Mus musculus: one gene and its partner. The main gene of each other region encodes a partner of the protein of the gene in region 2 in a complex. Each region holds a gene or a part of one and is shown on either strand. Other genes may lie near its edges. The genes, in order: Csf1 and Csf1r.

Region 1 (4,499 bases), on a different chromosome or scaffold from region 2:
CTGCAGCTGCTCATCCCTAGAGTCCTAGGTCTGGCTCCTGACACCTGACTGGGTCCTTCCTTTCTCCTTTCTTCCTTCCTCCTCCTCTACTCTAAAATCCTTCCATCCCTTCGGGCTCCAATAGGGTATCCCGGGAGATGCCAGCCTGGGGCAGAGGGACTCTTGGGCTTTCTTTCCCTGGCCTGATGCTGCCATTCTGAGCATTCTGGCTGCTGATATCCCCCAATTCAGGGAAATGCTGGCAGGGTGGAGTGATGACTGGCACCTTCTTGGATCTGGCTCTGCCCCAATAGTCCAGATGATGAGACAAATGTTGCAAATAGGAGCGCATTGGAAAAACACAGGGAGGCTATGAAACAGTCCATAACAACACTGGGTTACATCTAAAAGCCCAAAGCCTTGCCAGTGAGTACCAGGGAGGAAAGGCAGCTTTGGCTGGGCCATGCGGAGGGAAGAGTGAGGCCTTAAAGGGTGGAAGATGCTGATGGGTGTTAAGGCACAGGGTTGCCTAATGCCATTACGCACAGGACCTGTTAGGTTCCTTGCCTGACCTTAGAGAGAGAGAGAGACAGAGAGTCAGAGACAGACAGTCAGAGACAGACAGTCAGAGACACAGAGTGACAGACACAGAGAGACAGGGAGAAAGAGGTGGGGGAGAGGGTGCAGCCAGCTATGGGTTGATAAACTGCATTGGGCATGGTTGGGCAATTGGAAAGTTAGTCCTGAGTGGGAGTGGCAGCCCGGGTCTCCTGAACCCCAGTCTCAGAACCTGTTAAAGGAAATGACTGCAGAAGATGACTCTGGCCCAGGCTGGTATCACTCAGCCTGTCAGTCCATGTGTGTATGGTATGAAGGAAAGGACCCGGGAATGGAGATGTTCAGAAATATCTCAACCCAGGAATTTCAAGCCATTGATGTTTGGAGATAGCAAGATAAAGACATTACTTCAGGGCTACCTGGCTTTTGGTGGCATTTCAAGCATGCACAGAAATAATGCACAGCTGCTGGCTTCAAAGATGACCAGCCACTCCTGGATCTGGCTCTGTAACCCCAATGCTGCCATAGACAGGGATACAGATGGACACCCAAGGGTTAATACTCTAGCCTGCATCTGGCTGGACAGGCTCTTCCTGGCTTGCTTCTTCCTCCCACCCACTGCCTCAGCCTCTGACTATGAGAGCAGCCTGGAAACTGCGGCAGTCTCTGAGCACTTCAAGACATCATGTTCCATTTTCCAATCAGTACAGTCTGCAGACAGAGACCCGGCCTGACTGCCTGGCTGAACCTCGGCCTCCTCTCTTTCCTCTTATGTCTCCTTGTAGTCTTTCTTTTCTTCCCTCTTCTCTCTTTATGCTTGTTGCATGTGGGATAACTTCCTCCCTTCCCCTCCTCCTAACCCCACCTTCTGCCTCTCACTGAGCCCCTCTCTCTGCTGTTCTACTTTTCTCTCCTCCCAGACACCTGCAACGCGCTGCCCATCACAAGTTCGGTTCCTACCCTCCAGGTTTTCCCTCTCATTCTCTTCTGAAGCAAACCCACTTGCTGTGGATTGAAAGTACCATCCTTCACTCTGTAAGAGCCATGCTATCATCTGCTGCCATTACTGGAGACAGCTTCTGAGCAGCCCATTATCAGCTGCAGCTCTGAACTCTCCTTGCACTTTCTTTCCTCAGTCAGCCGCAGAGTCTAGAATAGCCCCATCTCATTTTCTTCAAGAAAAGATTCGGGTCCAGCTCCCCTCAAAGAGCCACCCAAGTCCCTAATAGTTCCTACACATCCATTGAACAAGTAGCAGCATGCCCATCTCTCTCTCTCTCTCTCTCTCTCTCTCTCTCTCTCTGCCAACAGGTTGCTCAGCACAGGTCCTGGTGTAAAGCTGAGTGAGCCTGAATTTTCCCTACCCTGAAGGCCCACTCCCAACTGGGGCCTAAAACATGTGCAACAACCAAAGAAAGATATCTACTGGGGATGATGCCACACTCGGATCTTGTGTCACTCGGAACCTGGAGACCTGGTTGACCATTCTGGCAGACATTGGGCCTGTGCCAATCCCTGCGATACCCCCCCCCCCCAGACCCCCATCTCTCTCTCCAGCCTGTGGGTAGCTCAGTGTTCTCCTCCGTGCAATGGGATGAGCAGCCTTCTCTTTACCTCGCAAAGCGCTGCAGCCCCAGGAGCAGCTATTGAAATACCGCGGGCCTCAGCCGTAGCTTAGAAGCAGTAAGGAAGCCAGAACCCAGGGCCGAGAAGCCTGGGCAGCTGGCGAGAAGGGGCTGTCCGCTCCAAGTGGCCCCGCAGAGCCGCCTGCTGCTTGCTGCAGAGCTCCTGCCCCAGCCCGGCCCGGGCCCCGCGCGCCACGGTTGCAGCTTACCGAAGAAGGGCAGCGCCCCGCGGCGCCCCGCGCGGTCATACGGGCAGCTGGGTCCCGGCACGGCGTGTTGGCCGCCCTGGTTCGCTCGCTCCCTTGCTCGCTAGTGGCTGAAGAGCCCGCGCCCCGGTCGAGGGCCACGCCGCTGTCCTGGGATGCAGAGAGCCGCAGCGACACCGAGAGCACCGAGGCAAACTTTCACTTTCCCCTGGCCGAGCTTCGCTGGCCAGCCCTCGGCACAGCCTTTTAAGCGGGCGGGCTGGCGGGGCATGTGGTTTATGGGAAATCACCCTGGCTCTCCGCCAGACACACACAGACATACACACACACAAACACACTCACAGGCACTGACACATACTACACCCCAGAGGCCCACTGAGCCGCCGACTCCCTTCCCCCAAGCGGGCCGCCTGGTCGTCCCCGCTAGCTCTCTTCCCCGTCGCTCTGTGGCTGTGCAGCCTCCTCAAAGTAACCCGGGCTCCACCGCCCTCCCCCGCCCTTCTCGAGCTCTGGACAAGACACTGCCTTTCCTTCTGTGCTCGCCACTCTTGTCAATCTCGTGTGATTGTTCTCGGTCTAATGCTGGCCCCTAGGGACTTTCCCTCAAGGCCCGAAAATCCTCAAATCTGAGCAGGAAACGGACAGAGTACATTGAACAGGACTTGAATGGGGATGGACCAACGCCTCTCTGCTGCAGCTCCATTCAAGTCCCTCATGGAACCCAGGGCAGCAGGTTTGCAGATTGGCTTGCTCCCTCCTATGCATTGTTCAAAGAATCTACTATACTACTATACTATCCTCTCCCCTGGCTGTAGGGAGAAGTGGGGAGCATCCAGCTACCTGGGTAGGAGAGGAAGGACTTGGTCCTGTGACAACTAGCTGGGTGTTTCTGCACTCTGCCAGGAGACACTTCAGGTGCTTAACCTGAAAGCACTGGCTGGCCCCCTGCTCCTGGGCTGCCAAACCCAGCTTATGTGGAAAGGTTGGTGTGCCTGGACTCTAGATTTCCCTCAACTCTGTTGGAAATGCATTTGTGCAATCACATTTTGTCTTTACATGAGAATGGATCTAGATTAACCTATCAAGAGGAGCCTATTAATTATATTGCCAACGTCAGGATCTTTTTCTTCCTTCCATTTATCCTGATTCAATGTGTTTCAATCCCGTCATGCCCAGATGAGTGGTCTGGTCTCAAAGGGGCACTTTTGTCACGTGTCCTCCATTTCCTTGCACTACCTAGCTCAGAGCAACAACGTCCCTCATAAACCTTTGCTCAGGCTGCTTCCTCGGACATGAAGTCTTCCTTTCCCCCATCCATCTTAAGGTGAATGTCTCACCTTTTAAGGTTATAATCACATCTTATCCTTGTCTTGCAAAGCCTTCTGGGATGCTTCAGGCTGATGGATAATTCCTTCTTTCTGTGTTCCCACTGGACGCAACCCATTCCTCCCAGTTAAGTTGGCATTCATTCATTCATTCATTCATTCTCTACATTATTTTAAACTGGTGGTTCTCAACTTGTGGGTGGCAACCTCTTTGGGGGGTCACAAGTCAGATATCCTGCATATCATATGCTTTACATTATGATTCATAACAGTAGCAAAATTACACTTGTGAAGTAGCAATGGAATAATTTTGTGGTTGGGGCGCCACCACAACATGAGGAACTGTATTGAAAGGTCTCAGCATTGAGAAGGTTTAGAACCACTGAATACTAGTGATAGTAGTGATTACGTTTAGAATCACTGAATACTAGTGATAGTAGTGATTACGTTTAGAACCACTGAATACTAGTGATAGTAGTTATTACGTTTAGAATCACTGAATACTAGTGATAGTAGTGATTACGTTTAGAATCACTGAATACTAGTGATAGTAGTGATTACGTTTAGAACCACTGAATACTAGTGATAGTAGTGATTACGTTTAGAACCACTGAATACTAGTGAGAGTAGTGATTACGTTTAGAACCACTGAATACTAGTGATAGTAGTGATTACGTTTAGAATCACTGAATACTAGTGATAGTAGTAATTACGTTTAGAACCACTGAATACTAGTGAGAGTAGTGATTACGTTTGACCTGCACCCTGAGCTGGGAGGCTTCCTCTGGGTAGCACCCCATTTCACT
Region 2 (4,281 bases):
GTCAACCCTTCCTACACAGTGACAGGGCAGCCCTAAGGGCATCAAGCCCTTAGAGGACTTCAGGGTTTCCTACAACCGCTCTCAGTGGGTCACACACACACACACACACACACACACACACACACACACACACACACGAGCCCAGAAATGGAAAGTCTCATCTCACAGATGATTTCAGCCTGGTTTAATGTCTGCTCACTCTGATTCAAACTCTTTGGAAACATGTGGCCTGTCTGCCCAAGCCTCCAACCAGCCAGATGTGGAACAGAGGAGAGCAGTGTGCTGCTGCTGATGTAGGGCTCTGGCTCTCCTGGGCAGTGATCAGCAGGAAGAGGGACGAGCTATTTCACCCTGGGCTCACATTGACTATGGCTAGGGACCCTGATAGCCATTGACCCTCTGAGCATCAGATATTCTTCTGTCCTGTGAGAACAATCCCAGCGGCCACCTAGAGGGCAGTGGAGTCCTCCTGACCCACCTGCTGTTCTCAGGCCGTACTGCTAATGTCCCTCTTGGGCCTGCTATGTGGTAGCTAAGGACCTTAACCCTAAAGGTCACAGGACACATCTTTGGGTTCCAGACACTTCTCCCTTCTCCCGGGCTACTCTGCTCTGCTTATCTTTGTCTCCTGTCTTGGCCTCCAGGAAATGTGCTCCGAGAGAAGCTTCCTTCTTATTTCTGCCTAGCCTGTTGCCCTGGATATTTACACAGAACAGGGCTGACGAATTCCACGTAAGCCGCATGATGGTCTCACTTCCCGCTGGCAGGGTTGGCGGGAGGGAAGCACGCTGATCACTACCTTCCCTTGGATGAGCACTTGATGGCCACTGATGCCCTGATCCTGGCCATTCTTCATCTCGCATCTCCCTTCTGGAATTCTCCCCATGACCCAAACTTTCTCCTCTTTGTACTTGCAAAATGGACTCTTCCACCATCAGCTCCAGGAGGCTCCCCAACCTCTTGCACTCATGACTACCACTCAAAGAGAAGAGGCCAGTCTCTCTCTCTCTCTCTCTCTCTCTCTCTCTCTCTCTCTCTCTCTCTCTCTCTCTCTTTCTCTCTCTCTCTTTCTCTCTCTCTGCCACTAAATGCTTCAACACTATTCCAGCTCCTACAGAAGCCCCCATGGTCCCACCCACACACCAATAATTTTCCAGGTTAAAACCCCAGGCTTTCCACTGATATCTCCCAACTTCTCTTCCTTTTGGAGCTGGATACAGACAGACAGACACACACACACACACACACACACACGCAGGCATGCAGCCACTCACACACTCTGCCCCACAAGCAGCCCTCGAGATAAAGACTGAAAAGCAGTGAACCAAAAATCACAGGATTTTCTGGCATGAGAGGAATAATAATTGTCTCTTTCTTAGCTGAGTCAGGGCTGCATTGACACACACACATCTGTCACATGCCCTTTAACAGTATTCTTAAGAATGTGTGCTTTCTCATGCATACATACCAATCCCATTCTACTAGGAATGTGCCAGTGCACGAGCCAGTGAGATCGGCTGAGCCAGCAAAGAGCCTTCCACGGACTGTCATCTCACCAATTCCCCAGGGACCAGAATGAGCCTGTCCTTCCCCAGCATCTTCCCTCAAGGTCTTTCCAAATAAGCAGTGGTGTGGTATAGAACATGTGTGTGCTAGGCCAGCTGGAGCCTAGATGGGATCCTTGCGCTGCACTGGGCCATTTATGTTCGTTCTCACCCTCAGCCAGACCTCCTCCAAGAATGGGAGTTCCGAAGCAGCTTCTGCTGCCCGAGAAGTTGGGGGGAGAGACCTAGGAAGACAGTGTCTAGGGAGACCCTCTCTGGCCTTCCCCAGGCCCCTCTCTAGCATCCTTCCTTGCTTATTCATAGGATCTCTCACTCACGGGTGTTCTCCTCCGACCCCTGTCCAAACTTTTCACCCTTGAGTCCTGGGCCAAAAAGGCCTCTTCTTTCCTCTACCCTGACCCTTTTCACCCAAGCCTTCCAAGAATGGGCCAGGTCCTAATTAACCACAGCCTGCTGGGCTGTCCAGCTGGTGGGACCACTCAAAGAAGAACAGCAAAAGCTATTGAGCAGCCCTGACGCATAAGATTTCCTCAGAAATGCGAATCTCAGTCCTGACCAAGACCTATGGGAATCTGCCTTAAAGGAGACTCCCAGGTAACACCCCAAAGCGCTGCACTCAAGGTTAGCCCACTACCGCCCTCCCTCCCACCTGCAGACGAGTAGATGTGGATGGTGGTCCTGAAAATACCAGGGTCACACTCAGAGCACACCGTGAGTCAAAGCCTAGGCTCAGACACATCCACAGCACTGGCCCCGGGTGGTTCCACCCACTCTCACCTACTCTTCTCGACAGATAAACACAAATCTGCACTCTTATGCCAGAGAAGTGAAGCAGAGAATGAGGCATCTACTGCAGGACAGCGATGCCCTCTTTGCAACACTCCCCCAGCAGGACTCCCCTTTTCTCCCCTTACCATGCCAAACTGTGGCCAGCAGCAGGACCAGAGGAGGCCCCAACTCCATAGCCTCCAGGGGATAGCGTGAGCCGATGCAGGTTGGAGAGTCGGCTGGGCACGGGGCTCCCAGCTGCTAGTTCTGTGAGGACGGGAACAGATGAACACGTTCCTGTCTGTTGCACTGGCTCCTCTTCCCCTTTTTTTTTTTTTTTTTTTTTAGGTTGCCTGAAAGGGAACTACAGAATTTGGAAATATTGGGTCTCTAGAAGAAAACAAAGCACACACACATACACACACACACACACACACACACACACACACACACCACACACCAGAGGAAGAGGCAGAATCTGGGGCCAGGCTCAACTGATCCTGAAGGGAGATGATGGAGTTTGAGAGACTTAGGAAACCACCTCTAAGGACACTTAGGAGAGGAGTCATACCCAAGAGCAGCAGCCTCTGAGTCAGGAGCATAAATAAGAGTCTCCCAGATGAGCAGTGAGCCTGGCTGAGAGAGGTCAGGTTATCCTACATTCTTCATACCTTTCTCATCTGCCCTTAAGGCAGAAGGCCTCAAGGTAACTGGAGATTTGGACTTTGACAGTAATGAGCCTCCTATAGCAGCAACTGGAAGTCTCCACTAATTGTCCTAAACCAAACTTATTCTAGGTTCCAAAAATAACAAGTCCTGTAGACAAATCACTCCATGATGACATTATCCCCCTAGGTGAGAGCGGTCACCCCATGAGAAGAAATGAAGTTACCCCTAAATATGAGCCATGGGGACCAAACTGTTTCCTCAAGCCATGAAAGCCAGGAATAACTCCTCTGGGACCAACTGGTAAAATCCAACAGCACCCACTGTGAGCAGGACTCTTGCCCCGCTGAACCAGGTCTTCTTATAGTTAAACCTGAACTCTTCCCCAGAGACAGGGCCTTGGACGCTTCAAGTCTGTTCCTGCCTCTAGCAATCACTTTTCATAGTTGATTTCTAGGGCAAGTGGTCAGACCCTGACTTGCTGAGATTCGTCCTGGTTGTCTAGGATTCTGGTAATGATACTATGTAGCATGTGTTTGCTGAGACACAACCCCCAGAATCTTTGTACTCTTCAAAGCTGTCCCTTTTATGAACCATCGAGTTGAGTTGACTGGCAGCTGACAGCTGTTAGGAGGCTTCAGGATAGAGTGGAGTTACCTGAAAGACTAAGGAAGACTAGAAGTTTCTGGTTAAAGTAGACATTCCTAGAGGAGGGTATGTCCCCTTGTCCCCAGATCTTCATTTGGGGATCTCTAGCCCTTTGTCATGTCCTGTGTAACAAATCAGTAGGAGGCTGGAAAGATGACTCAGTGGTTAAGAGTACATATTGGTCTTGCAGAGGACCTAGGTTCGAATCCCATCACCCACATGGTGGCCATCCATAACCCTAGGGCATCCAACAGGCATGCGCGTGGTGCACATACGTGTAATGCGTTTAAAAGGTTCACACGTAAAGTGAGCTACTCTAGTGAATTAATGAGACCCATGGAGGATTCTGGTCCCCTAATCAGTAAGTGGAGTGAAATGGAGGCTGGGTTCCTAACTTAGACATGAGCTCTCTCCACGTAGATGGTGTCAGCATCAGACAGAATTAGAAGACACTCAGCCGGCGTGCACTGCAGAATGCATAGTCCGTTTGCTGTGACGCATAATCCACTCCCACCACACACATTTGGTTACAGATTCTTCTCTGTTGATGGAGGAAACCGGAGACCCCGGGGTGTGTGGATTTCTATATTCTCAGAGGTAAGCTCTGATTTCATTCCCATTTTGCATATGGAGA

What was found.
Region 1: the proteins of Csf1r (region 2) and Csf1 are in contact, whole or in part, in a crystal structure (PDB 3EJJ), measured with the Mus musculus proteins. Residues at the interface, in NP_001032948.2 of Mus musculus: Arg142, Arg146, Leu149, Arg150, Lys151, Lys168, Val169, Leu170, Ser172, Asn173, Val231, Gly232, Phe233, Leu248, Ser250, Asp251, Phe252, Asp254, Asn255, Tyr257, Lys259; in NP_001107002.1 of Mus musculus: His38, His41, Met42, Gly44, Asn45, Gly46, His47, Phe87, Gln90, Asp91, Asp94, Arg98, Asp101, Glu110, Arg111, Gln113, Glu114, Leu115, Asn117.

What each region holds. Positions count from the first base shown.
Region 1 is NC_000069.6:107,757,654-107,762,152, forward strand, and holds the start of Csf1 (macrophage colony-stimulating factor 1 isoform 1 precursor), read right to left. Parts: upstream 2,817-4,499; 5' UTR 2,411-2,816; coding exon 2,372-2,410; intron 1-2,371. UniProt on the Homo sapiens protein: Cytokine that plays an essential role in the regulation of survival, proliferation and differentiation of hematopoietic precursor cells, especially mononuclear phagocytes, such as macrophages and monocytes.
Region 2 is NC_000084.6:61,104,197-61,108,477, reverse strand, and holds the start of Csf1r (macrophage colony-stimulating factor 1 receptor precursor), read right to left. Parts: upstream 2,907-4,281; 5' UTR 2,794-2,906; intron 2,698-2,793; 5' UTR 2,529-2,697; coding exon 2,480-2,528; intron 1-2,479. UniProt on the Homo sapiens protein: Tyrosine-protein kinase that acts as a cell-surface receptor for CSF1 and IL34 and plays an essential role in the regulation of survival, proliferation and differentiation of hematopoietic precursor cells, especially mononuclear phagocytes, such as macrophages and monocytes.